Diceros bicornis minor: one gene and its partner. The protein of the gene in region 2 purifies or fractionates together with the protein of the main gene of each other region. This does not show direct contact. Links are inferred from orthologs where the notes say so. Each region holds a gene or a part of one and is shown on either strand. Other genes may lie near its edges. The genes, in order: RAB3A and SYTL4.

What was found.
Region 1: the proteins of SYTL4 (region 2) and RAB3A purify together in Homo sapiens (affinity purification with mass spectrometry; 3 studies listed by BioGRID and IntAct, counting the BioPlex papers as one, with this or other methods). This does not show direct contact. The link is inferred for Diceros bicornis minor from reciprocal best matches to the Homo sapiens genes SYTL4 and RAB3A.

What each region holds. Positions count from the first base shown.
Region 1 is NC_080759.1:5,872,060-5,883,929, forward strand, and holds RAB3A (ras-related protein Rab-3A), read right to left. Parts: upstream 7,479-11,870; 5' UTR 6,722-7,478; coding exon 6,389-6,721; intron 5,329-6,388; coding exon 5,210-5,328; intron 4,338-5,209; coding exon 4,213-4,337; intron 3,356-4,212; coding exon 3,165-3,355; 3' UTR 2,542-3,164; downstream 1-2,541. Other genes in the region: MPV17L2 (mpv17-like protein 2), read left to right, coding at 431-601, 1,318-1,394, 1,508-1,636, 2,232-2,411. UniProt on the Homo sapiens protein: The small GTPases Rab are key regulators of intracellular membrane trafficking, from the formation of transport vesicles to their fusion with membranes.
Region 2 is NC_080781.1:93,785,465-93,796,990, reverse strand, and holds the start of SYTL4 (synaptotagmin-like protein 4), read left to right. Parts: upstream 1-5,635; 5' UTR 5,636-5,723; intron 5,724-5,834; exon of another isoform or gene 5,835-6,312; intron 6,313-11,526. UniProt on the Homo sapiens protein: Modulates exocytosis of dense-core granules and secretion of hormones in the pancreas and the pituitary. Interacts with vesicles containing negatively charged phospholipids in a Ca(2+)-independent manner.

The DNA of each region.
Region 1 (11,870 bases), on a different chromosome or scaffold from region 2:
CCATCCCACCCCACCTCACTCTGTCTCGGTCCCCTCCGCTCAGGGGTCTCCAACCCTCCCATTCCACCCTCTTCCACCCCCACTCGGGGGTCTCCATCCCACCCAACCACCCCCCGGGTCCGCTTCCCTGGGCCCCCTCGTCCGCTCCCCTGGCTTCCCGGTTGTCAAGGGCGCAGCGCCCTGGACAGCGCCCTGGACCGGCCAGCCTGGGGTCGCGTGCTTGCCTCACACTTCCCTACCCGCTGTGCCTCAGTTTCCTCCTTTGGGTAGGGGTCATGGTAGAACCCCCCCCCGCAGGGTGGTGAGGGAAGGAGGTAAGAAGATCTGAGAGGAGCCCCTGGCGGGGTCAGGCTTACCCAGGTCTGAGCCAGGGAGGGAGTGGATTGGGAGTTTGCCCGCCTGACGCCCCTGACTCTTCGGGCGCCCTCAGCGAGCATGTTTGCGGTGGGCTGCAGCATGGGCCCCTTCCTGCACTACTGGTACCTCTGGCTGGACCGCCTGCTCCCCGCGTCCGGCCTCCGCGGCCTCTCCAACGTCCTCAGGAAGGTCCTCGTGGACCAGCTGGTGGCCTCTCCCCTGCTGGGCGTCTGGTACTTCTTGGGTAAGGAGCCCTGTGCGCTTGGGCTTGGCCCCTCGTAGGTCAGGAGGGGCAGAGCCAGCTTTGTGTTAAGAGTGTTGAGGTGCACTTCAGATGTGTCTCCTGTGTGGGTGGCCCTGGACTGGGCGCCAGGTCACAGTGGTGACCGGATAGACCCGGTGGGGGCGGGCGTGAGTGGCAGAATCACAGACAATGGTGGAAAGTGTAGAAGGGGCGAGGACAGTGTCTCATGTGGCTGTCTTGGGCAGTGGTTGGGAGGGCTTCCCAAAGAAGAGGACACTCAGCCGAGACTTGAAGAAGGAGCCAGCAGGCGGGAGGAACAGCCCATGGAAAGGCCCTAAGGCTGAAGGAAGAGTTGCTGGGGCCAGGACGATTGCTGGGTTTGATGGGGCGCAGTGAGCCCGGCGCTTGGCTCGTTCCCCACCCCCAGGCTCGGTTCTGCATGGATGAAGGGCAGGTAGTGAAGCAGCCTAGCCTCGGGAAGGGTGTCGCCTTCCTTTGGAGCACCTGTTTAGAACCTCTCTCCCTTACTGGGACCACTTGTTCTGTGTTGTGTCCCCACACCGGCCACCCTGCTGGGCCGCCTTTCCCCCATCAAGGCTTCTGAGCATCCTGGTTCCTCGGCCTGGGACACTCCGTCCTTCAGAGGTCCTGTCCCGCCGCGCCGTCATCGGGACTCCGCAGCCTCTGACATCCTCATTTCTTGGTTTCCTTCCCAGGCCTTGGCTGCCTGGAGGGCCAGACCCTGGATGAGAGCTGCCAGGAGCTGCGGGACAAGTTCTGGGAATTCTACAAGGTGGGCGTGCCCGCAGGCCACACCCGCGCGCTAGCCCCGCCCCCCGCAACCACTGGCCACGCCCAGGTCCCTCCAGGCCCCCGCCCCTCACCGCACTCCGCCCCGCCCCGCAGGCCGACTGGTGCGTGTGGCCCGCTGCGCAGCTGGTGAACTTCCTCTTCGTGCCCGCCCCGTTCCGAGTCACCTACATCAACGGCCTGACGCTGGGCTGGGACACATACCTCTCCTACCTGAAGTACCGGGTGAGCGCGGTGGGCGGCCCAGGCCCCCAGGGGACTCCTCAGGGGCCACACGTGTGAGCCGCAGAGGGCAGTACAACCATCCTCCAGGGTGAGGGCCTCCTGTGCCCATGACACCCGCACCCCACGGTGGGCAGACAGGGAGCTGACGGCCAAGAGGGTTCAGACTGAGCCTAGCTCTGCTGTGATGTGACCTTGGGTCCCTGTCACCTCTGTCCAGGGAGGCTGACGCCAGCCCCGGGACAGATGGAGGAGGGCTGGGTGAGGAGGGGCCTAATGGGGTGTTTGACCACACCCTCTTGTGCAGACAGACCCCGGGCCCCCGGGCGCCCCCAGGCTGCGGGGCCCTGGGCACCATGCAGGCTGAGCTGCCCCACTCCCCGACCGGATGCCAGACAGGGCAAGACTGACCCCCAGCTGACCATCCGCCTGGGCAGGAAGGGGACCGGGCCCCACAGCAGGCCAAGTCAGGGTCCTGGGCTGAGTCCAGCCTCACCCCAATCCCTGGGCCCCTGGCTGGGTTGCCCACTACCCGGCCTCAGTTTCCCCATCTGGAACACAACCATGAAGATGGAGTCATCTCCACCCTTCTCACCAGGAGCCTCAGCGACCAGTGACGGAGATGTCCCATGCTCAGCATGGGGCCCCAGCCAGTCCCAAGCCCCAACCCCTCAATACTGCTATGGGCTCCCCCACGCCCTGGGTCCCAGGTGGGGAAATGACCTGTCCCCTCTCAGCAGAGCCTGCCTGGAGTCGCTCGCAGGCTCTGGGGCCATAGGCAGGGCCAGGCAGCCTCCAGTCTCCTCCTCTGTCACGGACTGTGGAGATTCTATTAAATTCTCTCTGTAACTGAAAACCTTGTGGGTGACCAAAGCCAGCGCTGGGCCGGCGCTCATAGAGACACGGCGTCGTCCATTCGCTTTATTGGGTGTGTGTAGTGTTGTCATGACATCTCCTGGGGGGGCAGGGGGTCACATTTGACACTCATGACATCAGAAGAGGTCTGGTGGGGGGGTCCCAGGGTGGTGAGTACCCACACAGCAGCGCCCCCTCCAAAAAAAGGTGAGACTGGGGACCAGGAGCCAGGCAGGCGGTTGCCTAGCTTTGACCCACCCGCGGTCCACGATGAGATGCCCACAGCGGCCTCCGCCTACTGGGTCACAGCCAAGGGGCTGGCAGGCCTGGCCACCTCCCATCACCCAATCAGCCTGCCCTGGGGTGTCATCTGCCCCCCTCTTCAAAACCTATAACTCTTGATGGGGGTGAATTAAAAAAAACGTGGGGTCTCGAGAGGAGAGTGAGCGGTGAGTTCACAGGGCCACGACACACCACGGCAGAGTGGGGACAGGGGTGTATGTACAGGGTGGGGCATGGGTGGGTGGGGCGCCCGAGCCCCTGGGGGACATCTCCAATAAATAAATAAATAGCTACGATAATAAATAAGGTGACGGGCCACGCTGGGGCAGGGGTCTCAAACCGCCGTCGGTGGGGGCCGGGTCAGACCCCGGGAGGGTGGGGCGCAGGGCAGGTCTCAGCAGGCGCAGTCCTGGTGTGGGGGTGCCTGCTGGTCCGTGAGCTGGGGGCCCTGCTTGGTGCCGGTGACCGCGGGGTCGGCCGTGTCCAACGACTCGGACATCTTCTCGCAGATGACGTCCACCAGGCGCTCAAAGGTCTGCTTGACATTAATGTTGTCCTTGGCACTTGCCTCAAAGAACTCGAACCCTGCGGTCACGGACAGGAAGGGTGAGGGCCCTGGTACTCCCACTCGCAGAGAGCTCTGAGGCCAGGGAACAACCGGAGATTCCCAGTGCCGACTGCACGATGAAGGCACTGACAAGTCCCATGAGGAAGCAACATTGGACTGGGTCAGCCCTGTATTTCCTGCACTTCTTTCTCTACCTAAAACTGTGCCCTTTTCATTGTCTTCAGGGCTCTGGCAAGACCCACTTCCCTGCTCCCACCCTCCATCCTAGCCCCATGCATTGGCCCTGGCAGCACCTACACTCACATCCAGCCGTGCCCTCCCTTGCTCACACACACTCCATGGTTCCCTATTGCCCTCAGCACGTGGTTCAGGCCACATTTCCTCCAAGTGATCCCTCGCATTCCAGCCGTGTAAAATTATTTGCCAAAACACACAGGATGTTTCCTACCTCTGGCCTTTGCCTAAGCTGTTTCCTCTGCCTGAAAGACCACCCTTTCTTCAAGCACCAGATGCAGTGCCCCACCTGCCCCAGGAAGTCATATCTACAGCAGGCAGAGCCTGGCTCTCCCAGCCCAAGTCCCTCCCTCTACCCCACAAGACTGGAGGCCTCTCGGGGGCCCAGCAACTCCCAGCACGAGGCTAGGCCGTGAAGGTGTCAGAATGAATCAGTAACTTCTGCATAGTGAACTCCTACAAAGCCACCCAGATCTACCTCAGATGGCTCCTGGATCAAGGCCAGTTTGCAGGAAGTGAATTGTCTAGATTCGAACCCAGGCCCTGTCCTGGCTTTGCTGTGGGGCGGGGGGTGTCCCCTCCCTGCAGGGCCTGTCTCCCTTTTCTAGCCTGTAGGTGTCCAGCCCTGCTGGGCACTCACCCAGGTGGTCAGCCAGCTGCCGGCCGCGTTCTGATGACACCACCCGCTCGTCCTCCATGTCACACTTGTTCCCCACCAGCAGCACCTGGGCATTGTCCCACGAGTAGGTCTTGATCTGGGTTGACCTGGGGTGACGTGAGGGTTAGGCCTTGGAGGGTCCCAGCTCCACCCTCCTGCCTCATCTGCCCCTCGCTCAGCCCTCCAGCCCCACCTCCCCGCGACCCCGACCGTGGCTGGCGCCGCGCCTCCTTGCAGCCTTTGGCCGGAGCACTCTGCTCTCTCCTGGTGTCTGCTCGAGCGGGCCCCTGGTTGCGGAAATCCCTCTTTAACAGCCTCTCCCACCCTTCCCAGACCCCTGCCCCCCGGAGAGAGGAATTTTTCCCTCCTCCGCAAATTCACAAATTTTCCTAAAATTTACCATTACTGCTGGACAACAAATATAACTGTTTATATCCTCTGGCCTGTGCAAACCATCCTTATGTTTTCTGTCCACCCCCCATATTTTTTTTCCTATATGTTTACAGTTTCATTTTCTACCTGAAATCCTTTCTTCTCATTATTTTGAGCTGGTGCCACCCTGTTTTAATAAGTATAGATTGACAGCAGGGCTGGGACACCCAATATTGTCATTTACATTCCTGCCAGGGGGGCTGGGGCTCCCTCATCTTGGCCTGTGCCCCGGGCTGTGCACCAAGCCTGGCTTAGAAGATGGTCTGCGGGGTCCGCCCGGTGGCGCAAGCAGTTAAGTGCGCGCTCCACTGCAGCGGCCCGGGGTTCGCCGGTTTGGATCCCGGGCGTGTACCGACGCACCGCTTGGCAAGCCATGCTGTGGCAGCGTCCCATAAAAAGTGGAGGAAGATGGTCATGCTAGCCCAGGGCCAGTCTTCCTCAGCCAAAAAGGAGGAGGATTGGCAGATGTTAGCTCAGGGCTGATCTTCCTCACAAAAAAAAAAAAAGAAGAAGAAGATGGTCTGAGCGGGGATGGGGGTGTGCTCACCAGTCCTGCACGGCATTGAAAGACTCCTCGTTGGTGATGTCGTACATGAGGATGAAGCCCATGGCGCCCCGGTAGTACGCTGTGGTGATGGTCCGGTACCGCTCTTGCCCTGCTGTGTCCTGGGGAAGAAGAGCAGGAGGTCAGAGAGGACCCACATGTAAGCTCCTCAGAGTAGAAATGAGCTCTGAGATCGTCCAGTCCAGCCCCCGAGAGGGCCAGAGAGGAGCAGGGGCTCGCCCAGAGGCACAGTGGGTCAGGGAAGGTGAGCAGCCCTTGCGCCAAGAACGTGGTGCTCCATCATCCTACAGAGTCTGTTACCTGCAGAATCGTTCCCACATTCATTCAACGCACATACACTGGGCGCTGACCAGTGCCACACTCGGCACTGGGCACTGAGGACACAGCTGATAACAAAATGGACGGAAATCCCTGCCCTTGTGGAACCGACATCCCAGTGCAGGAAAGACAGCAAACACGTGCAAAGGAAGAAAACAGATCCATCTTTGGAGAGTGGTAAGGGCTGCGGAGGAAGATAGAGCTGAGCGAGGATGGGCAGTGTGGGCTGGGGCACGGCTGAAAATCCCGGCGGAAGTAAGGAAGGGCTGTGTGGGCCTGGGGGAAGACTGTCCAGGTGGAGGGCACGGCCTGTCACAGGCCCTGAAGCTGGGCTGTGCCAGCATGTTTGAGGGACGGTGAGGAGCTGAGGAGAGGCAGGGAGCAGATGGGGGAGGGGCAGGGACAGCCCAGGCGGGCCTGCTGGGCCAGGGGAGGGCTGCGGGCAGAGAAGGGATGGTTCTGACGGGATTTAATGGGCTCCCTCAGGCCAGGGGACCCTGGGGATGAGGCTGGGAGCCAAGCTTCAGTAAAACTTCACACAGGCTCACATGAAAGAACTTGAAGATGGGGAAACTGAGGCACCAGGCCAAGTGATGCTCCCAAGGAAGGGTAGGAAAGGACGAAGGATTTGCTCCTGCCCTACCCCTGGAGAGCACCAATTAGGCGCCGATGGGAGAACAGATGCACTCTCTTCTATGTCTCTAGCCCGTGGTACACAGTAAGTGCCTAATAAATGCCTAGCACGTGGATGGATGAATGCAGACAGGAAAGAGATAAGTCAAGCTGGGGCCGCTTTTCCGGGGAGCCAGACTGACGGAGCCAGGAACCCCCGGCCGGACCCACCCAGATTTGCAGCTTGATCCTCTTGTCGTTGCGGTAGATGGTCTTGACCTTGAAGTCGATGCCCACTGTGCTGACGAAGGCGGGGGTGAAGGAGTCGTCCGCGTAGCGGAAGAGGAAAGACGTCTTGCCCACGCTGCTGTTGCCGATGATGAGGATCTTGAACATGTAGTCGAAGTTCTGGTCCGAGGACTCCTTCTGCCCGTAGCGCGAGTCTGTGGCGGACGCCATCTGGGGGTGCGGGGGCGTAGGCGGGCGTGAGGGGTCTCCCTCCATCCCCAACCGCCCAGGCCCAGGCACAGGACGGAGAGAACCCCAGAGCTCCAGAGAGCCCATCAGGAGCCCCAGGACCTACGGTGGGACCCACCGCAGAGGGCGGGCGTGCAGTGACCTTGAAAGGCGAGAGGTTTCAGGGGAGGAGCTCAGAGCGACGGGGATGGGGACACCCCTGCAGCCCCCTCCAGCAGACCTGAGCCCAGGTCGGGCTGTAACCCTAAACCCTACCGCGCAGAGACGGGTGACTGCGGCCGGCCCCGCCCCCCATCAATCATACATGTTCCTCAGAACACAGCCACGCGGGCACACGTGCACACTCGTGTACAGTCCCGCGGGGACGCGCGTCAGCAGCCCTCCTTCCCCCAGACTCCCAGGCTGGGAGAGCTCCGGCTGAAGAGGCTGCATCACGTGATAGGGGCGGGGTGTGCACACGTCAGGGCACACACTCACCCGTACATGCGAGTGCACATATGAGCGTCGGACACACTCGGTGCACAGGACAGAGACGCAGGCACCTGTCTGCATACCTAAATGCATACACAAATGTGCAAACCCACCGTGCGCACGGCGCCCTCCACCCATGCAGGCGTGTAGACGTTACCCACACGGGCACGCATCCTCGTGCACGTAGGCACCCGGCCGTGCACGCACACGCACAGTCCACGCGTCTCCCTCCACACGCGTGCAGCACGCACACACTTGGGTCGGACCCCCACGGGGTCACACGAGCATGCCCTGGCACACAAACAAGGGTACACACAGACCCGCCGGCACAGGCGGACGCGCACACGCGTGTGCACACCACGCGCACGCGCACGCACAGAGCCTCCCGCGCGCACAGCTTCCCGCAAGGCATTCGCCTCCCCTCCCCCTCCGCCGCAGAGCCGGGGGTGGGGGGGTGGGAGTGGTGAGGATCCGGCAGGTAGGGGAAGCCGGGGCCCTACCTCTCCCAGACCCGCGACCGCCGCATCCTTCCCCGCCATTTAACCCTCGCCAACCTCTTCCCCCACCCCCGCCAGCCCATCAGTCAAATGAAGGTTATGTAGGTGCTCGAAGCGAAGCGAACCGGGCCGCCCGGGAGCTCACCTTGCCCTGCACCGATGCAGTGGCGACCCCAGCGGCGGCGACTTTTTGTTAGCGGCGGTGACGGGGCCCCGTGCTCTGATGTGGGGCTGCGCGGCGGCGGCGGCGGCGGCTCAGGCCCCTGCAGTCCGCGGTGACGTCCTGCAAAGAGCGGGGCGGGGCCTCACATGCAGATGTTGCCGTGACGCCATCCTGAGGCGGAGCCGCGCATAGCGATGTGGCCCACTGACGCGCTCAGATCCGGGGGGCGGGGCTCCCGCGCAGATGGACATGCAAATGGGGCGGGGCCCAGCGTGCGCACCCAGTAGCGGGCGGGGGCGGTGCAGGCGGGGAGGATCGCCTGCCGGCTCCGCCTCTCTTTCGTGTTACGGAGGCGTGGCTGTGCGGCGCCTTCTCACTGGCTTAAGTGCTTGAGCGACGGACTGAATAGCCAATAGAGGTCGTCACTCTCTTCCCCTGTCCAATGGTGGCTTCTGAGTGGTTGAAGAGCCGAGAGGTTGAGGCCTTGGCCGAGCGTGGGTCTTCAGGGGACGTTCCACTTCCCCGCCCCCGCCCACCTCCGGTCAGGGACTGCAGCGGCCGCCGTCCGGGCTTAGGTGCTGTGACTTCTCGTTAAAAGCCCCCTACTTCCAATTTCAAAAGAGAGGAACAGAGGTCCGACAGATGCTCCATGTCCGCTATTATGGGGTTCAAATAAGTACGAAAGAACAAAAAGAGTAAATAGGGGTCAAGAGAGACCCGTCCAATTTCTGAGATGTAAATCCCGCAAAGAGAGCCCGGCTGGTAGCTGCTCCACCCTGTTTCTCAGACAAAAAAGGAGAAAGAGGAAATAGGAGTCCAGAGAGCCACCCCTCCTCATCAGTTCCCAGAAAAAAGGAAGGGGCTGGCGGGCGCTCCGGGAACCCCTCCCCTCCGTGCACCCCATTTTCCAGAGAAAAATTCAAAGAAAAGGCGGAAGGAGGGCAGAAAAGGGTCTGTCCCCTAAAGCCCCAGAGCCTGCGGTTACAGGAAGTGTCCGAGCGAGGTTCAAAGACCCAACAATAAAGACGCGGGATGGGACGTGCTGTACCCACCCCAGATCCTGAGTCCAAAGGCGAGGACGGAGAGACCCCTCCTCCATCCTGGGGAAACAAGACTCAGAGATGGAGATTTTGGGGACTGAGTTGCTCCATCGTTTATTCCCCCAAGTCTTAAAGGGGTAAAGTTAGAATTGAGGGGGGCTCGGGAGAGTGAGACCCGGGCCCCCATCCTAGGTCCCTGCCCCCCGACTCCTGTCCCCAGACCCGGCGGGGGGGGGTGCGGCCCCAGGAGAATGCTGACCCCCCCCCATTCCTCCCCAGCAGGCAGGGATGGAGCGGGGGGCGGGGGCGGGGCTCGTCCTGGTTATAGAAGGCTCTCCAGCTGCGGAGGCGCCGGGAGACCAGAATAGCTTCTCGCCTCGAGGCCGCCCCCGCCCCCAGCGCCCTGGAAGCGCAGGGACGTCGCTCCCGCTCCGCTTGCATTTGGGAAATCTATTTTTTCTAAGGCTAACGTTGTCCCTCTCCCCCACTTGGACTATCGAAGTACCACGAACCCACCGCAAAGAATTGGGAAAATGACATAAAAAATAGATGAAAGTAAATCCACCACAGTCTCCCCCCACGCAGAGACCGGCAGTGGAGTCCCCGCTCTGGGTGGGGCCCCAAGCGCGGCTGGTCCGCCCCGGCCGCGGCCCCTTGGCGGTGAGGTCGTGCGAGGCCGCTCAGCTCCCCGACCGCCCTAACGCAGGTTTCCTCGGGCTTTGTACGTGGATGGCGCTCGGAAGTCCCTACTCGTTTTTTCTCGTGGGGAGAAAGCCCACAACAACATGCACCAGCTTCTGCACAGACGACTTTGTATTTTAAAACAAAAATAACGGAAGGCCTATGTTGTTAAGAATCAGCATTCGGCTCTGGAATTAGGGATGGTTGAGCGCCAGGGTGGGGGTGGGGGAGACAGGACTGTGGATTTGTGGGGGTGGGTCTCCTGCGTGGCAGGGGAAAGAGCCAGTGGGAGAAGGGCCTCAAACTCTCCCAAATCTCACCCCACTCTGAGTAAAGTCCAGACTCCTCCTGGAATCCCAGGTCCCACCAGCTACCTCCACGTCTTATCTTTCTCCTCCAGTCAGACACGCCCTCCTCTGGCTCTAGGTGCAATCCTGCCTCAGGGCCTTGGCACCTGCTGTTTCCTCTGCCTGGAGCACTGTTCCCTCAGCCCACCCCATGTCTGGTTCTCTCATCCCCTTGAGGTCTCTGATCAACACCCACCTCCTTCCAGAGATTCCAGTTTTGCCCTGTCACCTCCTGTCACATCCCCATGAGAAGTGATCATGTTGACTTATTTATCCATTAGGCATCTGTGAGCTCTGAGAGGCAGGGATTGTGTCCCCAGCACCTAGACCTGTGGACACAGTCAGTGCCCTGTGATGGCATGACATGAATGAATGAATGATTGGAGGGAGGGTGACTTTGGCCAGGGAGATTAGGGAGGACCTCTCCGAAGACGCGACATTTAAGCAGAAACCTGAGGGAGGAGGAGAAGGAGCTGGCCACAGGGAGAGGTAGGGGAACAACATTCCAGACAGAGCAGCACGTGCAAAGGTCCTGAGGCCGGAACTCACTAAAGAAGCTTGAAGGACAGCCCCTCTCCAGTTCTGGGAGGGAGGTAGGACAGGCAACATTTTCTCCTTTAACAGAAGGCAAACCAAGGTCCTGAGAGTCACGCTAGGAGTTCACCAGGGCTGAAAGTTCTAGGGGCCCTGAAGACCTTCTCCCACCCTCCTCTTTGGGTCTAGGATGGGCCACAAAGGCAAGGACTGTGCCCCTTGGGAAGGGCCCCAAGCAGAAGAAAATTGGGGACCTGGAGCATGGGCCTCGATTTCCACATCTGTGAAATGGGAGAAGAAAGAGGCAGAGTTGATCTGACTTTGAGCAGGTGGCTCAGTGCCTGGCTCAGGACACACTCTCCTCAAATGTCACCCTCTGCAATTATGTGGTCCTCACGAAGAGCCCATTTCACCCGGGGAAAGGACAAAGCCTCAGGGAGGTGAAGCAACTTGCTGAAGCTGTCGAAGTCCATCTCTGGGGGACACTGAAGATGGCATGGTGGACCTGGCCCAGGCCTCTGGGGATCACGGTGGAGGGGCCAGGGAGGGCTTCCTGGAGGAAGAGACACTGGGATGAGGCCCAAAGGGTGAGGATGAGGGGGAGAAGTAGTCCAGGTGATGGGCACAGCATGTGCAAAGGCCCTGGGGCAGGGCCGTGCTTGGGGTGTGGAAAGCCATTGTGGGTGGAGTGTGCTCAGTACTGGGGAGAGGGAGGGATGGCCTGTGGCCCAAATTGAAGGGGAAGGTATGAATGTTCTCATGAACGGGTGGAGAAAGAACTAGAGGGAAATCAGATGAAATACTGAAGGCAGATGATCTATGGGTAAAGTTATAGCATAATTTAATTTTTTTCTGTATATATTTCCATTATTTCCAAATTCTCTACAGTGAACAAGTATTACTTGTAAGTAAAGGGGGAGGGAGAAAAAATTATAAATAAAAATCCCCTAAATCTCTGCCTTTTAAAAGTCTGGAAGGAAAGGTACCAAGTTCCCGACCCAGATGACCTTTAATTCCCCCTCTGTGGCATCTGCCCGTTAGCTGTGATGGTGACTGGAATTGTCGGTGGAATTATTGAGGGAGGAAGCCGGGAGCCGCTGCAAAGCCTGTGGCATGTATATATTTTCACACTCGGGGAGGGAGGCGCGGGGGGGATACTGAGGCTTGCAGAGGCCGGAATCGAACCCGAGACTTGAGCACCGAGCCGCCTCATCTGCTCGCCGAGAGGCCGCCCCTGCCCCAGGAAGAGCTCGACCAAACCAGGCGCAGTGGGGCTGCCGCTGGCGCACGTCCAGCGCCCAGCTGTGGGCCTAGAGCGGGCAATAGAATTGCTCTGCGCCTCAGTTTCCCCATCCGCGAAATGGACACGGTAATAATTTTGTGTAATAAGGTTCATTTAACCCCAGAAAATGTTCAATGCCCCAACTTTCTAAGGTATTTCAGGGAGGTCACAGACACCACCCCTCAACCAAAGTTTACCCAAGGACTAGGATAGGCCATAGA
Region 2 (11,526 bases):
GTCAACATCATTAGTTATCAGGGAAATGCAAATCAAAACTACAGTGAGATATCACTTCATATCGAATGGATGTCTATAATCAAAAAACCAATAATAACAAGTGTTATGGAGGATGTGGATAAATTGGAACCCTCATACATTGCTGGTGGGAATGTAAAATGATGCAGCCACTTTGGAAAGCAGTCTGGTGATTCTTCAAAAGGTTAAACACAGAGTTACCATATGACCCAGCAATTTCACTCCTAGGTATATACACAAGAGATTTGAAAACATATGCTCAAAAAAACTCATACATGAATGTTTGTTTGAGCATTATTCATAAGAGTCAAAATGTGGAAACAACCCAAATGTCCATCAACTGATGAATGGATAAGCAAAATGTGGTATATCTATATAGCGGAATATTATTCAGCCATGAAAAGAATGAAGAATGATTCTAGTGACGTCACCAAAAATGATGGAGTAGAGAACTCCAGGGATCCTTGAATGACTATAGTTAGCTACTGAATAAGGTCCAAATTGTTTAAAATGACTCACAAGACCTCTGAAGTTCTAATCCCTACTCATCCGTTATGGATTGAATTGTGTCCCCCCAAAATTCATGTGTTGAAGTCCTAACCCCCCAGTACCTCAGAATGTGTCCTAATTTGGAAACTGGGTCATTGCACATGTAATTAGTTAAGTGAAGATGAGGTCATTAGGGTGGACCCTAATGCAATATGACTGGTATCTTTATAAAAGGGGGAAATTTGGACACAAGGACATATGCAGAGGGAGAATGCCACGTGAAGATGAAGGCAGAGATTGAGGTGATGCTTCTCTAGGCCGAGAAATGCCAAAGATTTCCAATAGACCACCAAGAGCTGGGCGACGGGATTAGAGTTTTCCTCACAGCCCTCAGAAAGAACTAACCCTGTAGACATGTTGATCTCAGACATCTAGCCTCCAGAACTGTGAGCCAACAAGTTTCTGTTATTTAAGCCACTCAGTTTGTGGTACTTTGCTATGGCAGTCCTAGCAAATTAATACATCATCTTTCTAGCCTCATCTATCATCACTTTTTTCTTGCACTTTATGCTCCAGCAATACCAACTTCCTTGTACTTCCTTTGTATAGACCTAGAGTTTCCAGCCTTTTTGTTTTTGCTTTTGCTATTCTTCTGCCTGGAATGCTTGGAATGCCTTTTTGGTCTAGCTAATTTCTATTCATTCTTAAAGATTCAGAGAAGCTATTACTTTATCCAGGGACCTTTCACTGACCACTCCCCACCAAGCTGGTGTAAGTGGCCTTCCTAGGTGCTCCCACATATCCTGTGTATCTCCCAGCTTTGCACTTTCCACACTATATTATAATTTTATGTTTGTGGTTTGCCTCCCCCCATGTCATGCAATAAACTGTGAATTCCTTGAGGAAAGGGTCACCAAAATCCCAGTGCCTGGCACAATATGCTTTGCACATAGTAGAAGCTCGAACATATCTTTGAATGAAAGGACTTTTTTTCAGTGTTTATTCATCTTCTTTCTTCCCATAGCACCTATAAAGTGCTTTGCATATAATGGGTGCTCAGTACATCTCGACTGGTGGTTCTCAGCTAAGGATATTTGGCAATATCTGGAGACATTCTTGGTTGTCACTACTGGCATCTAGTGGGTAGAGGCCAGAGATGCTGCTAAACATCCTACAATGCGCAGGATAGCCCCCACAACAAAGCGTTACCTGGCCCAAAATGTCAATTGTGCGAAGGTGGAGAAACCCTGATCTTGATTGAATAAGAGACTGAATCTACTTTTTACACCCTATACTCACTGAGGACCATTAGTGCACTAAATTTGCTTTGTCAGGAAGCCTGCATTTTTTGTTGTTTTTTACAAAAGTAAACTGTTACCCAACAGGAAATGAAGAGGTAGTGTCCTGGCATCCAGAATTAAGACTTTGGCGGGGCCGGCCCCATGGCTTAGCGGTTAAGTGCGCGTGCTCCGCTACTGGCGGCCCGGGGTTCGGATCCCGGGCGCGCACAGACGCACCGCTTCTCCGGCCATGCTGAGGCTGCGTCCCACATACAGCAACTAGAAGGATGTGCAACTATGACGTACAACTATCTATTGGGGCTTCGGGGAATAAAAAAAAAGGAGGGAGATTGCCAATAGATGTTAGCTCAGAGCCGGTCTTCCTCAGCAAAAAGAGGAAGATTAGCACGGATGTTAGCTCAGGGCTGATCTTCCTCACAAAAAAAAAAAAAAAGACTTGGCAATTGAAAAAAGTACTTGATCAATAGAAAAACAGATATATAAGTTACAATATCTTTACGCCTGGAATGCTCTATAGCAGTAAAAGTGAATGAATTAAAGCTACATATATCAATAGGGATAAATCTCCTAAGCATAATCTCGAGTGAAGATAGCAAATTGCAGACCGTACGTACAGAGTGATACTACCTATAGTTTTGGGATAGATACATATGTGGCAAATGTATAAAGACATACATGCAAATGATCAAGATAAAATCTGAGACAGTGAAAACCTTAGGATGGAGGTGTATACAGAGGGCTTCTGTTGTATTGGTAATGCCTTATTTCTTAACCTGGGTAGTGGGCATATCCTTGTTATATTATTCTCTATATATTCATGTACTTTTGAAATATTTAATACTTTTAAGAATGAGCAATTGCTCAATACTGAGGCATCCTGTCACCTGGGGCTGAGGAAAATCTCCATCTTATTAGTTTGCACCAGCCAGAACTTCCTCAGTGTGGCAAAGTTGAACAACTCATTGAAGCCAGTCATTCACTATGAGACAGCAGCTTACATACTATACATAGGATAATAATCCATAAGTTCCTGTTTACATTGCTGCACAGGATACTGCCTGGGTTTGCTTGCATTGGACCCCTCTCAGTATTTGGCATAAGAATTTGAGCACAGAGTCCTTGTGGCAAACAAGGAGGATCAAACAGAAATGGACAGCAGTTTGCAAAGCACAGAATCTATGTGAACAGGCCATTGACGAACTTTGTTTTGGTTCATTGTTTATGCTTGTCTCTGTGTATTTCCAGCTGGTTCAGTGAGACTATCTTAGAGTAAAGGAGTCAGATCCTCACATCCTCTTTAATGAGGTGGACCTTGGCGAGTGAGAAACTGCACACATAGAAAAAGGTAAAAAACCTAAAATAATATCTGGAAATTTTGCTGAAGAATAAGGGGATTGGACTAAATGTTTTCTGAAGTCCCTTCCGGCCAAGGGTGTTTCCAGTTCCTGCCAAGTACCAACTGCAAAGAAGGAGCAGAGAAGAGCTTGGTGGGAGTTTCCACAGGTCATGTTAGAGAGGTGGAACGCATTCAAAGCCTAGGGCTGAGCAGAGAGGCCCCAAGGACTGAGCTGGCAAAGCTAGACAAAACAAAAGGATTTCCTTTTTGAAGTGGTTTCTTCACACTTCAGGCTGCAGGTGGGTATTGAAGGGCTAAAGGATGGAAAAAAACTGTGGGGAGAGCCTGAGAGCTGAATTTTACTGTTTTGTCTGCCAGAATTAAAATGATTTTTCTCTTTCCCTTTTAATATTTTTCAAAAAAGATGTTTTATATTATCAAAGCCATATATGCTCATTATAAGAAAGTTGAAAAATACAGAAAAGTAGGAGGAAAATGAAAAATTCATTTAGTTCTACCACCTAGAGATAGCCACTATTAATATTTTGCATATTTCTTTCTAGTCTTTTTTCCACACCTATCCCCCAATTTCCATTAATTATTGTGACAATATTTTATATTAAATGTTGTATCCTACTTTCAATTAATATTAGACATAAGCATTTTCCTGTCATTATGAACTATGTGTAAATACCAGTTTTGTTGGCTATTATTCCATCGTATGATTATACTATAATTTACTTAACCATTGAACCATTAGGTTTTTTTTTCTAGTATTTTATTATTGTAAGTAATACTAGGATTAACATTGTTGTAGAAAAAGTTTGCAAATGTCTCTGTTTCCTTAGGACACATTCATTCATTCATTCTACAAATATTAGTGAGGGCCTACTATGTGCCAGGCACTATGCTAGGTGCCAAGTTTCTAACTTGGATGGCATATTGTCATTTACTGAAATAGGAAACACTGGAGGAGCAGCAAATTTAAGAGGAAAGATGGTGGGTTCAGCTTTAGATGTGTTGAGTTTGAGGTGCCTGCCAAACATGCAAGTGGACATGTCAAGAAAGCAGAGCTCAGTGAAGAGGTCTGGACAGAGCTATAAAATCACAGTCGTGGTCATATAGATGATAATTAAAGCCAAGTGAGTGAAAGAGATCATTTAGGGAGAGAGTATATGTAGCCCAGTCCTGAGAGTGTCCAGCTTTCAGAGGTTAGATAACAGAGTGGAATCTACAAAGGAGACTGAGGAGAGGGCAAAGGGGTAGGAGGAAAACCAAAAGAGTGTGGAGTCATAGAGGCCACAGGAAGACTTTTAAGGAGGAGAGAATGGTTAACAGCGTTAAATGTAGGAGAGAGGTCAAGCAAGATAAGGAGGGAAAAAGCCTTATTTATTTATTTATTTATTGACATAGATTTATTGACAGGGAGGTCATTGGTTGGGTATCTTGTTGAGCACAATTTCAGTGAAGTGTTGGGGAAGGAAGCCAAATTGCTGAATGAGAAGTAAGGGAATGGAGATTGCAAATGTACCTGTAAAGTACCTTTTCAATAAATTTGCCCTTAAAGAGGAGCTGGAGAGGTACCTAGGGTGTAGGGAGGACTTTTTTTTTAAGATGCCAGAGATTTGAGCATGTTTAATTGCTGATGACAGATGAGAGGGACTTGAGCAGGGTTAATGGCTGATGAGAAAAAGAGAGGGAGAGCAAAGGTGGGAGAGAGAGAAGGGGAAAGGAATCAACAATTACTAGGTAGATATAAACATTTAAAAATCTATTGATATATATTGGTCATATGCTTTTTAAAAGGATTTTTAACCAACATACACTCTTCCCAGGAATTATGTTAGAGCTTGTTTGGTGGCCACTTTGTCATCATTAAGTGTTATAAAAACAAACAAACAAAAAAATCCTTTGCCAAAGAATCTCATTATTGTTCTCATTTGCTCTTCTTTGATTACTAGTGAGTTGAATATTTTAACCAGTTGTGTTTGTGGGTGTGAAGTTAGTCTACGTCTTTACCCCAAATGTTTCTATTTTAGACAGACTTGTATTTGCCATAAAAGTATGAAAGTCAAAGGATCAGAATAGTATCATATTTTATCTTCTAAAATTTTATGGTCTAGACTCTGCATCGTCTTAGACACGAATCCCACTGTACACGACAGTTTGACAACTTTTGGCTCAGCAGAGCGCAAGAGGCAAGTGATTTATCATCTGAGAGAGTGACCACAGATGGAAGTAAAAGGCGGGGCAGGTCTAGTGTTAGACCCCTATCTCCAGTCCTCAAGCTCCCTTTTCTAACCCGGGACGACATTTCTCCAGTGCCTTAAGGCTGTGGCTCCCAGAGCTCCCCTTCGGGTGGCGCGGCCCCCTACTAAGGAGCCCGGAGCGCTGTGCGGCCCCTTTAAGAGCCCAGCTCCTCCCCGCTCTAGGGAAAGTTGCAGCTTTTTCCGCCTCCCGGGAGGGTGAATAGGGCAGGCCGCCGGAGCGGGGCTGCGGTCTTCTCTGAGTCGGAGACCCTGCCCTGAATCCGGCACTGGGACATCTCGCCCTCTCGCGGCACCTGTTGCAGGTGACAGGTAAGTCCGCGGCTAGCGACCGCCCCTTCGCCCTGGGTCGGGGCTCCTCCTGAGCCCCTAGCCCCTTTTCGCTGCCCAAGCGCCCCCACCCCCATCTCGGGGAGCCGCGCCCTCCCCTCCCCCCTTCCGCTCTCCCACTCTTTCCTCCTCCCCGGCTCTAGCTGACCGCCCGTCCCCTCTGCCCTGTCCGCCTGTCTGGACCGCACGCCCACGCTTGGACTCCGGTCTGCTTGGGCCGGTTCCTCCCCGCCACTTTGCTGTCTCCTGGGCCTCTGCGGGCCCTTGCCCCGGCCCACCCGTCGCTAGCGCGGGCTGTGCCCCTCCGGCTCTGTCTCCTCTCTGGCTCGCCTCGTGCCGGGCGGCTCGGCTTTTCCCGCCCGCCGGCGCTGGGGCCGCCCGAGCGCTGGCCCTGGCGGCGGGGGTGCGGCCGGCTGCCTAGCGGGCACTGCGCCCTCGGAGGCGTCGAGTCACCTTCTCCGCGGTTCCTCTCGCAGCGCCCGGCCCGTCGCGCGGGGTCTCGGCCCCGCACTGCTTCCGGACCTTGGACGTCGTGGCGTCGGCTTCCCTGGCCTCGGTCTGTCCGCCTCAGGTAAGGGCTGGAGGCCAGTTGGCCCCGAGTCCTGCCTCAGTGGACTCCCTCTGCGCTAGGGACTGGGGACCCGGCTGTGTGCCCTGGAGCCGAGCAGCTTTATCTTGCGACCCTTCAGGCAGGCTGCGGGGATTTGCTCCTGGAGGAGGGTCCCCAGAACCCTTAGAAGGGGCACAGAACGCTTTTGTCTTCTGTGATACTTTGCAAAGGGGCAGAGAGATGGGCCTCCAGCCATTCACGTGGGATGAGATGGTTGGGGTTTTTGGTAGTGAACTCATTTGGTTAGAATTCTGGCGACTTGAACAGGTGGTCTGTTTCTCATTAACTAACAGTTTCTTTCCCCAGCACCCTGCTTCTTCAGGACGAGAGGACCTAGCATTCCAGAATACTGCTTTTGGCAGAGTTGACCTTAGACCTTGTACATTTGTGACAGAAATTAGTCTTCAGTACATCCTGGACCTCCTATTTTTAACTGGCTTCTTTTCTGCTCTTTCAGCTCCCCACCCCCACCCCTCATAAATCCATTAATATTAAGGTGTTAATGACCTAATGTGTTTACCCGCTGGTCTGTGGAAAGAACAATGTTTAATGCAAAGAGTTGAGTCCCTGATGAAGGTTGTTGTCGTCGTTTTTTAGCACCTGCTGGAAATCCTAGTGGAAAAAGACCACTAACTTGGCTAACCAAATGATTTCCCTGGCAGGGAATGAACATTTCTGATAACATAATTTCAGGTGCCTCACTCTAGGTGGGAGCAGTGAAATGGAGTTTGGAGGCCTGTTCAGGCATAATCTGTGAGTGAGGGTAGCTTTCTGGTTGATGCTCTCTGGGCTTTTCCCCTTCAAGGCTGCTACTAATAATGGTTAGAATCCATTGAGCTGGGCACTGTGATAAATTCTATACATAACTATCTCATATAATCCTCATGGTAACTCTGCACTACAATTGTAACCATGTTATGGTGAAAAGGAGACTCAGAGGTTGAGTGCCTTGCCCCAAATCACCCAACTGGTGAAGGGCAGAGCTGGGCCATCTGACTGCAGGGCTTGTGTTCTTATCCCCTGTCACACCACCTGTGCTGTCTTGGATGTTGGGAACACTAAATAGCTCATAGGTGAGGACTAAGTGATTAAAAATTTCCCTTCCAAGCTGAAGCATAAGTTTTGGTCCTTGCCTCCACCTCAGATGCACTGCGGAGACTTTTGACTACTTACCTCACTGGTATTTTCCCCACTTGCCCACTTTACTTCCAACATGGGGCCAATTGCCACGTTGCCACTAAAAGCACACACCCCTGAGTGTACGCGGCTGAATGAAGCCTCTGGGGCACTCAGCTCTGTAGTAATTGTCCTGAAGTTAGGAGAGGGTAACTTTGGATCCTAGGGCTGACTCAACTCCTTCCTTTCCTGCTGGCTAGGGGAGAAATGAGAGTGTGGGAAGTGATAAGGATTTCCCAGCAACCAGACCAGGGAGCCTGAGGGTGAGTGTGTTCTTGGGATGGATGGAGTACCTTAGGCAGGGACAGTCCAGGAGAAAATGTCCTCCCTGATCCCATTTCTGGGCCTTTGCTCAAGCTGCTCCTTTTTTTTTCCCCCTGAAAAGATAACTTGCCATTCAGACTCACTCCTCTGCCATTGATTCCTATTCATCTCTCAAGATTTAGCTTTAAAGTCACTTCCTTTGGGACAACCTTACTGAACACACAATTCCTTCCCCTAAGCAGAATTACCAGTTATCCTGTGTCCTAAAGCACTTTGTTTACACCTTAGGAAAGCCCTAACACCTCTCTTAGTTGTTTTTCACCTGCTTTCCCTAACCACCCTATTTAAACTTGCAACCCCTTCCCTGAACATTCTATATGCCTCTTCCCTATCTTATTACTCCAGTGTAACATATTGTGTATTTTATTCATTTTTCTTTTTTATTGTCTGTTCCTCTCCCCACTCCATAATGTAAATTCCATGTGGGCCGGGATTTCTGTCTGTCTTATTCACCAGTGGATCCCAGCACCCAAAACAGAGCCTGGCACCTCATAGGTGCTTACTAATATTTGTTAAATGAATTAATGAATGACATGACCGTTCTAGGAATTGGGCCTCTTTTGTGCTCTCCTGGACCTGAAACTAAGTGTCCCCAGTCAGTCACCCTATAGCTATAAGGTTGCCTCAGGCCCAGTTCTCACACAGCTTTCCTTCTGCTGAGTTTTGCTTTCAGATTATATTCCTGATGACAACTTGGACCTAGTTGGAAGTACTTCCTCTCTTTTTTTAAGGCATGAGTCTCTGAATGGAAACTTCTAAAGTTTAAAGTGGAAATGTAAAGATGCTGTGCTTCTTGTGGGTGGGAAGGGGGGCTGCACTGAGAGGAAGGGACATGGATTGTCAGATGTTTTGAGGTGTTTTAGGCATTTGGTGTAAGCGTAAGTAAGAAGCAGGTGCAAGTTACTGTGCAGTAGGGAAGCGAACAGCCCAAAAGGATAAAAGATGCCGCGAATTAAGCTTCTGACCGCAAGTCACCCTTAGCCTTTTAGGCATGAGGTAGTTATCGGATTATGAATTTTATGAAAAAGCCATTGCTGAGTGCTACTTGTGTAGTACTTGACTAGTTTTATACTAGGAGAATTATACAGTGTGAGGAAACCACTACGTAACATAAAAGAAAAAAAGTTCTATTACGTTTAAATGTATTTTGAAATATCCAGAAAGAAAAAAAGGCTAGAATCCCTTAAAAGACAGGCTTGGAAGGAGTTGGGCCCCCTGTTATGGTGGTAAGTATGTGATTCTCCACCATCTGATTTATGTTAACTTCTTTGAAACTCAAGTTTGTACAAAAAACTTCTGCTCAGCCCCTTCTTCTACTAAATTTATCTCCCCAACTTCTGAACATTGGAGTGACGCAGGGCTCAGTCTGTGGACTTTTCTCCATCCAGAATCTTCCTAGAAGCACTCCTCCAGCCCCATGGCTTTAAATACCGTCTATCTATACACCTCATCACTCCCAAATTTATGTCTCTGACCCAAGCCTTTCTTCTAAGCTGCAGCTTCATTTGTCCAGTGGCCTGTTTGACATCTCTACTTGGGTGTCATATAGATATCTCAAACGTAGCATGGCCAAACAGGACTCCTTATTCCTCTCACATCCCCAGCCCCTTCCCTCAGCCTCCCCTATCTCAGTAAAATAGCACTATCATCCATTCAGTTGCTCAGACCAAGAACCTAGGGTCACCCTTGATTCCTCTCTTTCACCCGCCCCCCGCATCCAATTCGTCAGCAAGTCCTGTTGACCTGACCTTCCAGCTGTGTCATATATTCTGCCACGTCTCCATCTCCTCTGCCTATCACTCTAGTCTAAGCCACTACAAGGTTGCAATAAACATCTTTGTACAATGCTCGAGGATGGCTATAGATATAGACATACACACACATAAATATTTCTGTGGGATAGCTTTCTAGTAGGAGAACTGTTGGGTCAAAGGATATGTACATTTAAAAATGTGAATGAGCATCGCCAAAGTGACATCCAAGAAGGTTTACACTCTCACCACTGAGACTGCTTTTCCTCAGGCCCTTGCTGAGGATGGACAGTCTTTTTAATTTTTGCCAATCTGATAGGTGAAAAATAGTATCTAACTGATTTAACTTGCATTTCTCTGATCACTAGTGAGGCTGAGTATCTTTTCATGTGTGTTAGCTATGTGTATTTTTCCTGAGACTTACTCTTTAATATCCTTTGCACATTTTTCTTTTGGGTTATATATTTAATTTGTTTATAAGAACAGTATATTTATTAGGAATATTTACCCATTGCCTGTTATATAGTGCAAGTTTTTTTCTCTCTAGTCTGTCATATGTCATAACTTTGTTCATGATGTGTACCCCTCTTGTAATAAGATAAAACACACTATAAAACATTTAAAAAACATGTTCATTAGATTTGGCAATTAGGAGGTCAATGACGACATCAGTGCTGCGGGAGGAGAGAAGGCAGATTGTAGAGGGTTGGGGAGTGAGCATGAAGAAGGACTGATAAGGAATATGGTATACAGTTTGAAGAGGCTTGGCTATGATGGGAAGGTGAGAGTGTTTCTTATAGACAGTAGGGCACAGGGGACAAGAAAATGTTGTTAATTTCATTTTGTTTTAAATATAGGAGAGAGATGAGCCCATTTATGTGTAGATGGCACAGACCTTGATGAGGCAGAGTCTCTGAGGAAGCAGGAGGGTGGGGGCTCCAGATTGAAAGAGGTGAAAAGATTGGCATTAGAGAAAGGGAGGTAGCTCTCCCATTGAGACAGAGCAATATATTTTTTCCTTAATATTTGTGGCAAGCCGGCCTGGTGAAGCTGTGAAGAAGGAAGGGGCTGTGGAAGGACAGGATTTTGAGGGAGGACCCATCTGACGAGAGTGATGAGGAGTTGGAATAGCATTTGAGAGGGGTGGAAAGAGGAGCTCTTTAGAAGCATATCATCCAGATACCACATCATAGTGAGTCAAGAAAGGCTTGGATAACTTGAATTTGTCTCTGCCCCAAGTCCCAGAACCCTGTATCCATTCTCTTCAGCGGCACTCGTCAGCCCAGGTGTAGAAACAGAATGTAGACAATCTAGTTTGGGGGATTTTTCTGGGTGGCTGTGACAGAAATATAAGAAGGCAGGAGATCAGACGGTGCTGGTGGAATAGTTGAATTGATGGACCACAGTGGCTTTCATATCTGTGACTATCTAAACCTACCTTGAACTCAAGTAATTCTTAAGAGATGGAAAATTTCCATGGCGTCTACACTGTTTCTTGTTTGTAGCTCTCTCAATTCAGGCATCAGAATAGCTTTAGTATCAGTGTCTTTCAACTATTGCTTGCAACTTGTCAGAAAGCATGGGTTGATTTACTGAGGGCCTACAATGTGCCAGTTTCTAGGCTAGGTAGTGGAGAAGATAGACGATGGCCTTTTTTTTCATGGAACTTACTTCAGCAGAGGAGGTCTATGTTAAACAATGTATCACATAATCAATGATTTAATTGTAATTGTGATAAGTTCTGTGAAGTTCAGTTTTTTAGAAATCAAATCATCACATTGCTTTCTCCAACAGGTTTTACCAATTTACATTTGCCAACAAAGTATGAGAGTATCTCTTATGTCTTCCCTTTTTAAAATCGAATATTGTCTTTTTAAAATTTCTCTGAATTGATAGGCAAACATAAAAATATCTTTATTACCAG